Linked DNA regions of Macaca mulatta. The protein of the gene in region 1 interacts with the protein of each later gene in a biochemical or structural test. Links are inferred from orthologs where the notes say so. Each region holds a gene or a part of one and is shown on either strand. Other genes may lie near its edges. The genes, in order: LCAT and APOA1.

What was found.
Region 2: the proteins of LCAT (region 1) and APOA1 form a complex in vitro, tested with the Homo sapiens proteins (6 studies listed by BioGRID and IntAct, with this or other methods). The link is inferred for Macaca mulatta from reciprocal best matches to the Homo sapiens genes LCAT and APOA1.

What each region holds. Positions count from the first base shown.
Region 1 is NC_133425.1:63,520,116-63,524,370, reverse strand, and holds the start of LCAT (phosphatidylcholine-sterol acyltransferase), read left to right. Parts: upstream 1-1,293; 5' UTR 1,294-1,312; coding exon 1,313-1,466; intron 1,467-2,158; exon of another isoform or gene 2,159-2,205; coding exon 2,206-2,362; intron 2,363-2,441; coding exon 2,442-2,746; intron 2,747-2,829; coding exon 2,830-3,054; intron 3,055-4,255. Other genes in the region: SLC12A4 (solute carrier family 12 member 4), read left to right, coding at 1-47, 196-472. UniProt on the Homo sapiens protein: Central enzyme in the extracellular metabolism of plasma lipoproteins.
Region 2 is NC_133419.1:117,509,718-117,513,839, forward strand, and holds APOA1 (apolipoprotein A-I), read right to left. Parts: upstream 2,390-4,122; 5' UTR 2,135-2,389; coding exon 2,092-2,134; intron 1,920-2,091; coding exon 1,763-1,919; intron 1,174-1,762; coding exon 570-1,173; 3' UTR 513-569; downstream 1-512. UniProt on the Homo sapiens protein: Participates in the reverse transport of cholesterol from tissues to the liver for excretion by promoting cholesterol efflux from tissues and by acting as a cofactor for the lecithin cholesterol acyltransferase (LCAT).

The DNA.
Region 1 (4,255 bases):
CCCAGCCATGCCCCTGACAATTTCCGGGAGCTGGTACATATTAAGCCGTGAGTGCAGCAAAAACAGACCCAGTGGCGCTGGAATCTAGGGGTGGAGGTGGGGTGGGGCAGACAAGCGGTGTTAGGTGGACCAGGGGTGGGGACCCTCCTTGCAGGATGGCTTATGGTGACCTGTGATTGGCTGCACTACGTGTAGGGACCAGTCCAACGTGCGACGCATGCACACCGCTGTGAAGCTCAATGAAGTCATTGTCACGCGCTCCCACGACGCCCGCCTGGTTCTCCTAAACATGCCTGGCCCACCCAAGAACAGCGAGGGCGACGAGAACTGGATCCCTTTGTGGAGGGGCAGCAACTGGGAGGTGGGCAGCGTGGGAGGTCAGGCCAGCAGCTCCTCTCCCGGGCCCCCTGGGTGGGTGTGGCCCAGGTGGCCCTGGTTACCCATTGATTCTGTTGCTGCCTCCTTGACTTGAGGCCCTGCAGACATGGAGTTCCTCGAGGTACTGACCGAGGGCCTTGAGCGGGTGCTGTTGGTGCGTGGTGGTGGCCGTGAAGTCATCACCATCTACTCCTGAGCCCAGTGTCACCTTGTGGCCTGGAGTCGAGGTCTTGGCCAGGATATCACAAGCTGTGGTCTGGGGTAACAGCCTCTTCCCAGCACCCACTTGCCAGCCCTGCTTGCCTGGCCCTGTCCTGGACCCAGCTTTGCTAGGTCTCCTTGGAAACCAGGCCTGGGCCTCAAAATGGAGATGGATCCCAGGTCTTGTGGGACTGTGGGAGGTTTGGGGACTTTACTGTCTAGCACCCCAGTAGGCCTGTCCTGGCGAGAGAAGACTGGTTGGGGCCGAGTGGGGTTTGAAGGCAGCTGGCGCAGCCCAGTCCAGGAGCGCTATTTATTGCATATTTATTATTTGGATCTCACCATCAGAGACGAAGGGAAGGGTAGCCAGGGAGGGAGTCCAGCCCAGCTGCCTGCAGGAAGATCTGGCTCAGTCAACTATGGGCAGGGCCCCCCACCAAGCTGAGCCGAATGGAGACAGCCGAGCTGAGGCCTGACTTTTTCAATAAAACATTGTGTACTTCTGGGCCTCCTGCTGCCCCGGCTCTGTTTCCCCTGGCGCCAAGAGAAGAAGGCGGAACTGAACCCAGGCCCAGAGCCGGCTCCCTAAGGCTGTGCCCCTTTCCGGCAATCTCTGGCCACAACCCCCACTGGCCAGGCCGTCCCTCCCACTGGCCCTAGGGCCCCTCCCACTGCCACACCAGATAAGGCCAGCCCAGTGCCGCTTCCTCTGGCAGTAGGCACCAGGGCTGGAATGGGGCCGCCCGGCTCCCCATGGCAGTGGGTGCCGCTGCTGCTGGGGCTGCTGCTCCCTCCTGCCGCCCCCTTCTGGCTCCTCAATGTGCTCTTCCCCCCGCACACCACGCCCAAGGCTGAGCTCAGTAACCACACACGGCCCGTCATCCTCGGTAAGCCCCCACCAGGCCCCTGATGCAAAACGCCAGACCCTGGGGAGCCTGGGCCCCAGCCCCTGGCAGCTGACCCGGCCAAAACCCTTCTGCCCTGCATATGCCCCGGTGTAAGTACCTGCCTTGGTGTGGGGAGGGGCCAAAAGCTTGTCCCATAGAGGAATGACCTCCCTTCTCCCCGACGCCCGACTACGTGTCTCTCAGTTGCCTACCCCAGGGGGGCGGAGTGGGGGACAGGATGTGCCTGAGGTCTTGGCTGGGGCATCACAAGCTGTGGTCAGCCACAGCCACACCAGACTCTGGGCCAAACCCCACCACTCCTTCCTTGGCCCCCACCCACCAAGGACAAGATGCCCAGCCCAGGACCGGTGAGCAGGAGAGGCCCATCCATGCCCGGCCCCTATTAAGCCCAGCCCCCCTGCCCCTAGACCTATCTGTTCCCACCCTGGACTTTGGAAATAAAGGAGCGCCAGGCTGGGTGTTTGCTCTGCAGAGGCAGGGGTCAGCGGCCTTGGCCTCAGCACCTCAGCACCTTCCCTTCCTCAGGGAGGCCTGGGCTTTGGCTACTGGGGGGACAGCGGGGAGAGGGGGTGTGAGCAGGGGAGGGTAAGTGTGCTTTGTACCTAGGGTTGAGGGTGTGGGAGGTTGGGGGTGGGTCTAGTCACTGCAGCATCTGGGGTGACTGGGGTAAGGGTCACCGGGGGAATCCAGAGTCCAGAGTGAGGGCCACTACTCACAGTGCCCGGCTGCCTGGGGAATCAGCTAGAAGCCAAGCTGGACAAGCCAGATGTGGTGAACTGGATGTGCTACCGCAAGACAGAGGACTTCTTCACCATCTGGCTGGATCTCAACATGTTCCTACCCCTCGGGGTAGACTGCTGGATCGATAACACCAGGTACAGCCATGTGCTCCGCCCCAGCCCCGACACACTGCCCCTTGGCTATTGGCTGCTGAGTGGCACCCCCGCCCTGCAGGGTTGTCTACAACCGGAGCTCTGGGCTTGTGTCCAACGCCCCCGGTGTCCAGATCCGCGTCCCCGGCTTTGGCAAGACCTACTCTGTGGAGTACCTGGACAGCAGCAAGCTGGCAGGTTTGTGTCAGAGGGCAGGGCTGGGGCTCCAGGCTGGGGTGCTGGCCCGCAGCAGGCACGGCCCAGCCCCCGGTGCTGCTGCTCCCCCCACAGGGTACCTGCACACACTGGTGCAGAACCTGGTCAACAACGGCTACGTGCGGGACGAGACTGTGCGCGCCGCCCCCTATGACTGGCGGCTGGAGCCCGGTGAGTGTCTCTACGGATGACCAGCTTGGGGTGGGGCAGGTGCCCCGGACCCCAACTGCCCTGACCCCTCCCACCCACTGCAGGCCAGCAGGAGGAGTACTACCACAAGCTCGCAGGGCTGGTGGAGGAGATGCACGCTGCCTATGGGAAGCCTGTCTTCCTCATTGGCCACAGCCTTGGCTGTCTACACTTGCTCTATTTCCTGCTGCGCCAGCCCCAGGCCTGGAAGGACCGCTTCATCGATGGCTTCATCTCTCTTGGGGCTCCCTGGGGCGGCTCCATCAAGCCCATGCTGGTCTTGGCCTCAGGTGAGAAGGCCTCGACCACTTAGGCCCAGCGATGGGTGAGACGAAGCTGATCCTGGGCCTGCCTTCATTGCGGCTCCTGCTCACGGTGGCCTCTGGGGGTGCCATCTACCACCCCTGGGCAGGCATGCTCGCTGTCACTGGCCTCCAGAGCAGTGACCCTGGCCTGAGCAATTAGGGTGGCTCCTTCCAGAGTCTGTGTCAGTGATGGCAAAAGGGCGGTGAAAACAGAAAGTGAACCCCAGCTATCTGCCCCCAGGTTTGTTCCTTGTAGCCCCAGAGCCTGCCTACCCAACCCTTGCCTGCCTTCCGCTTGCTCGCAGGAGTGCCTTTGCCGAGGGATGTGCTTTACTGAGGATGGGTCTGCCAGAGCTAGGGCCAGACCCCCCGGAGCCCCGCCTGCCCTTCCCTAGGGAGTGGCACCAGGGCCCAGCACTGACACAGCTACCACCTACTCCCCACCCCCTGTACCGTGGGAGCTGGTCTGGAGAGAGAAACACAGTCTGGACAGAGAAACACTCATCAGACACCACCAATAAATGCCAAACAGACACCATCTTGTTTCTCCCTTTCTGGAGCACAAGTCTGTGGCCCCCAATGCAGCACAAGCCACACAAGGAGCAGAGAGACACATGCCCAAGGGAAGACAGCCAGCACCGCCCTGACCATCCCCACACATCCCGGGCCTCACCCACCATCCCCACACACCCCGTCCTCAGGAAGCCCCGCCTACATTTTTTTTTTTTTTTTTTTTTTGAGACAGGGTCTCACTCTGTTGCCCAGGCTGGAGTGCAGTGGCACGATCATAGCCGCAACCTCAATCTCCCTGGCCCAAGCAACCCTCCTGCCTCAGCCTCCTGGGTAGCTGAGACGATAGGCATGCACCACCACACCTAATTTATTTTTATTTTTTAGTAGAAACAAAGTCTTGCTATGTTGCCCAGGCTGGTCTCAAACTCCTGAGTTTAAGTGATTTCCTGCCTCAGCCTCCCAAAGTGCTGGGATTACAGGCGTGAGCCACTGTGCTGGGCCTTTTACAAAATACTTGTTTATTTATTTTGAGATGGAGTCTCACTCTGTTTCCCAGGCTGGAATGCAGTAGTGCAATCTCCGCTCACTGCAACCTCCGCCTCCCAGGTTCAAGTGATTCTCTTGCCTCAGCCTCCCTAGTAGCTAGGATCACAGGCATGTGCCACCATGCCTG
Region 2 (4,122 bases), on another chromosome or scaffold:
GAGGAGGCGCTCAAACTCCAAGCACTTCACTTGCACCCGGGGCCACACCCCAATCCCAGTGACTCCCTGAGGCCGCCCCGCTCCGTCCCGCCCCGCCCCGCCCCGCTGACAGCGACTGGGCTGGAGAAGGCTCTGTACGGAACACCTCTGGGGACGGGGAACCCACTGCTCCCAACTAAAGCAACCCTGTTTCCTGTCCTGCCCCAGACAGGGCTGCAGGCCTTGTCTGAGTCCCTTTCAGGGCAGCTGGCCTTGGATTGTCTGTGGCTTTGCCTGGTCCACTGTGACTTCCTTTCTACTTGAGCCTTGGTAAGGCAGACTCTACTCCCTCACTCGTAAGCAGCCAGGCGTCCAGCAGGTCCTCCAACGTCGATCTTGGCCCTAAGACGCCCAGTCTGGGCACGGAGTTGTTGAACTCCGGCTGGAAGTCCCTGCTCCAGGGCCAAAGGCCCCATCCGGGCTCCCCCGATGTCCCCGCACCCCCCTCTATTCTCCCAAAAGAAAGAAGCGGCTTCCCACTTCGGAAACGTTTATTCTGAGCACCGGGAAGGGGGGCGGCGGCGGGCGCCTCACTGGGTGCTGAGCTTCTTAGTGTACTCCTCCAGAGCGCTCAGGAAGCTGACCTTGAAGCTCTCCAGCACGGGCAGCAGGCCCTGGCGGAGGTCCTCGAGCGCGGGCTTGGCCTTCTCGCTGAGCGTGCTCAGATGCTCGCTGGCCTTGGCGTGGTACTCGGCCAGGCGGGCGCCGCCGTTCTCCTTGAGCGCCTCAAGGCGCGCGGCCAGGCGCTGGCGCAGCTCATCGCTGTAGGGGGCCAAATGCGTGCGCAGCGCGTCCACGTGGGCGCGCGCGCGGTCGCGCACCTCCTCGCCCAGCGGGCTCAGTTTCTCGTGCAGCTCGTGCAGCTTCTGGCGCGTGCCCTCGTGGAGCTCCGCGCGCAGCGGCTCCACCTTCTGGCGGTAGAGCTCCATCTCCTCCTGCCACTTCTTCTGGAAGTCGTCCAGGTAGGGCTGCACCTTGGCCTTCACCTCCTCCAGATCCTTGCTCATCTCCTGCCTCAGGCCCTCTGTCTCCTTTTCCAGGTTATCCCAGAACTCCTGGGTCACCGGGCCGAGCTGTTCTCGCAGCTTGCTGACGGTGGAGGTCACGCTGTCCCAGTTGTCCAGGAGCTTTAGGCTGGGGCGTGAGACAGAAGGGTTGAGGGCTGGCCTCCCAGCGCCCCAGCCTACCGGGGTGAGCCCTGGGCAACACCTGTTCGCGGAGGTGCAGTGGCCTTGCGTTTCCAGTACACGCTCAACCAAAACCCCTGCCCCGCCAGGCCATGCCCCTTTGTGCAGCTGGACCGAGGCACAGAGAGGAGCTAAGAAGGAGACAGAGCTGGGACTGGTGCCCAGTTACGTTGGTCACCAAAGTGGGCCCTTGAAGGACCTCGCTTCTATGCCTCCAGCACATTCGCCTCTCCGAAGACAGCCCACACTCTTGCTGGGCAGGGGTAGAGGAGGTGGTGAAGAAGGGAAAGGGGTCTGCTACACTTGCAGGCACAATGTGGCACTGTGATCACAGATCGGGCAGCCCTGGTCTGTCCTTTGCAAGGGGGCATGGGCTGTGACCCTGCATAGGGATCCCATTCCGGTTTCTCCATCCAGACCATCTGTGGGACCCAGCTCATCAGATAGTAGGTGAGGACTCGGCCAGTCTGGCTTCAACATCTTCCCACAGGCCTCTGGCCCCTGCCCCTGCCCTCAACCCCAGGCTGGGTCCTTACTTTAGCTGTTTTCCCAAGGCGGAGCCTTCAAACTGGGACACATAGTCTTTGCCGCTGTCTTTGAGTGCTTCCACGTACACAGTGACCAGGTCCTTCACTCGATCCCAGGGGGTCTGTGGGGGTTCATCTTGCTGCCAGAAATGCCGAGCCTGGCTCCCTGAGGGTGGGAGGGGAGACCCAGATCAGGCCAGCTGTGGGCTGAGATCTGAGCCAAAAGGCCAAGCTTGGAGGTGGGGGAGAGGGCGCTGCCTCTGCCCAGGAGGGTGGGCCACAGGGGTTTGGGGAGAAAGCCCCCCGATGGTTGGCTCCCTAGGCTGGGGGACACCTACCCGTCAGGAAGAGCACGGCCAAGGTCAGCACCGTAGCTTTCATCCTGAAGGGCCGTGGGGGACCTGGAGGAGAAGAAGGGGCTGGTTGAGTGGGGGGCCTCTAGCATGCAGAAGCCCGGTGCTCCCCCATTCATTGCAGCAAGGTGAGGAGAAGGGCGCAGAGTGGGAGAAGACCTCAGGTACCCGGAGGCCCGGCCTGGAGCAGGGCCTGACCCTCGAGCTGGGGAGCCAGAGTCACCCGGAGCAGGGAGCAGGACTCACCTCCTTCTCGCAGTCTCTAAGCAGCCAGCCCTTGCGGGGCCTATTTATGTCTCCAGCCAGGGGCTGGGCTGGGAGGCAGATAAGCCCAGCCCCAGCCCTGTTGCTGCTCACGGGTCCTGGCAATGTGGAACTTAAGAGTTCAAGGATCAGCTCTGTCCTTGGGGCTGGGCAAATAGAGTGGGCAAACAGCAAGCTGCGGGGGCTGCAGGGCAGGGGTCAAGGGTTCAGTGGGGGCGGGAGGGGAGTGTCTGCAGGCTTGCAGGTCCCTGGGGTGGGGTCGGGGTTCCCTGCACTCATCCCTTCCCCTCCATGGGAGTGTGTGGGCGGTTGCCATTGTCCATTGTGTTGACAGAGGAGGGGGTGGAGGGACGCTGGGACTCCTCCACCCAGGAGACCTCCTCCCCCACCATCCTGCATTCCAGGGAGACTACTTCACTCCCCTTCCCCTTCCCCCCGTCCTGTCCTCCCACCAGTGCGCTTCTTTAGTCCCCAGCAGGTCCTCCAGGCCTCTCTCCAAGCCTCCCAAACTGGTAAACCTGGGGAGAGGGGAGAGCGCTCCGTGGCTCCCAGACTGAGGTTTCGGAGACCTCTTGCATCAAAACACTCTTGAGACTGATTCAGAGCTGCCAACTTTTAATTCTGTCTTGTAAAGATATTGTAAAGACCATCACTTCAAAAAGGAAAGACTTGAACAAAAAAAGGGCATAATCTCAGAATTACATTACAGAATTGAAGCCCCTTAGATTGAAGACGTCTCCCTTCGCATTGTTCACACTTACATTTGATCACGCACAGGTGAGACTGGATCTCAGCCCTCGGGAAGCCCTGGTGTGGGGAGAAGACCCTCGGGTAAGGAAGTGGCAGGAGACCACCTTTCTCATTTCACTTGGCCTCCATCTTGCTGGAGGAAGATTGTGGGCAAGTTATGTAATCTCTCTGAGCCTCAGTTTTTTATCTGCAAAATGGGGCAAGAATGGTCAGGGTTTTTGGAGGCCCCTGAGACAGCCTGTGAACGTAAAGTGCAGTGTGTCCGTTCGTGTTTGCAGCATCATCTTGTCAGGTTTCTCCTGGAAGGCCCAGACCTCCCCCAGCAGGTTACTGACAGGACCTGAGTCCTAGAGCCCGTGATGCAGGCTGAGAAGAACTGTGAGATCACTCCAGCCCCTTCCCACGCCACCATCTCACAGATGAACAGACTGAAGAGCACGGAGGGACTTTGCCCAAAGGCTCTCATCTCTCAGGGAGTTAGACGCAAGGCTGGACCTAGAACCCAGTCTCTGGACTTAGGATGCAGGGCAGACATGTGCCCTGTACCATCACCCCAGGAAACTCCCTAACACTACAAACCAGCCTGACATCTCTGTTTACCAGATCAGGGAGTGGTCGGCCTCATGCCTTTCACTTCAGAGAAGATTCTGGAGCCAGAAAACCTTAGATTTGAATCCCAGCTCTGCCACTTACTAGCTGTGTGACCCTGGATGAGTTACGATGCGTCACCTCCCCACACATCAGTTTCTGATTGAAGATAATGATAGAACATGCCATCGCCCAGAGTTACGGCAGGGGTTACTGTGTGGCAAGCAGAATAACGCTCCCCAAAGATGTCCACATACTCATCCCTGGAACCTGTGGCTTTGCTACCTTCCATGGCAAAAAAAGATTTTGCCAGTGTGATTAAGGACCTGGAGATGGGGTGGTTGGCCTGGATTCTCCAGGTGGGCCCATTGTCATCACAGGGGTCCTTAGTTATACAAGAGGGAGGCGGGGCCT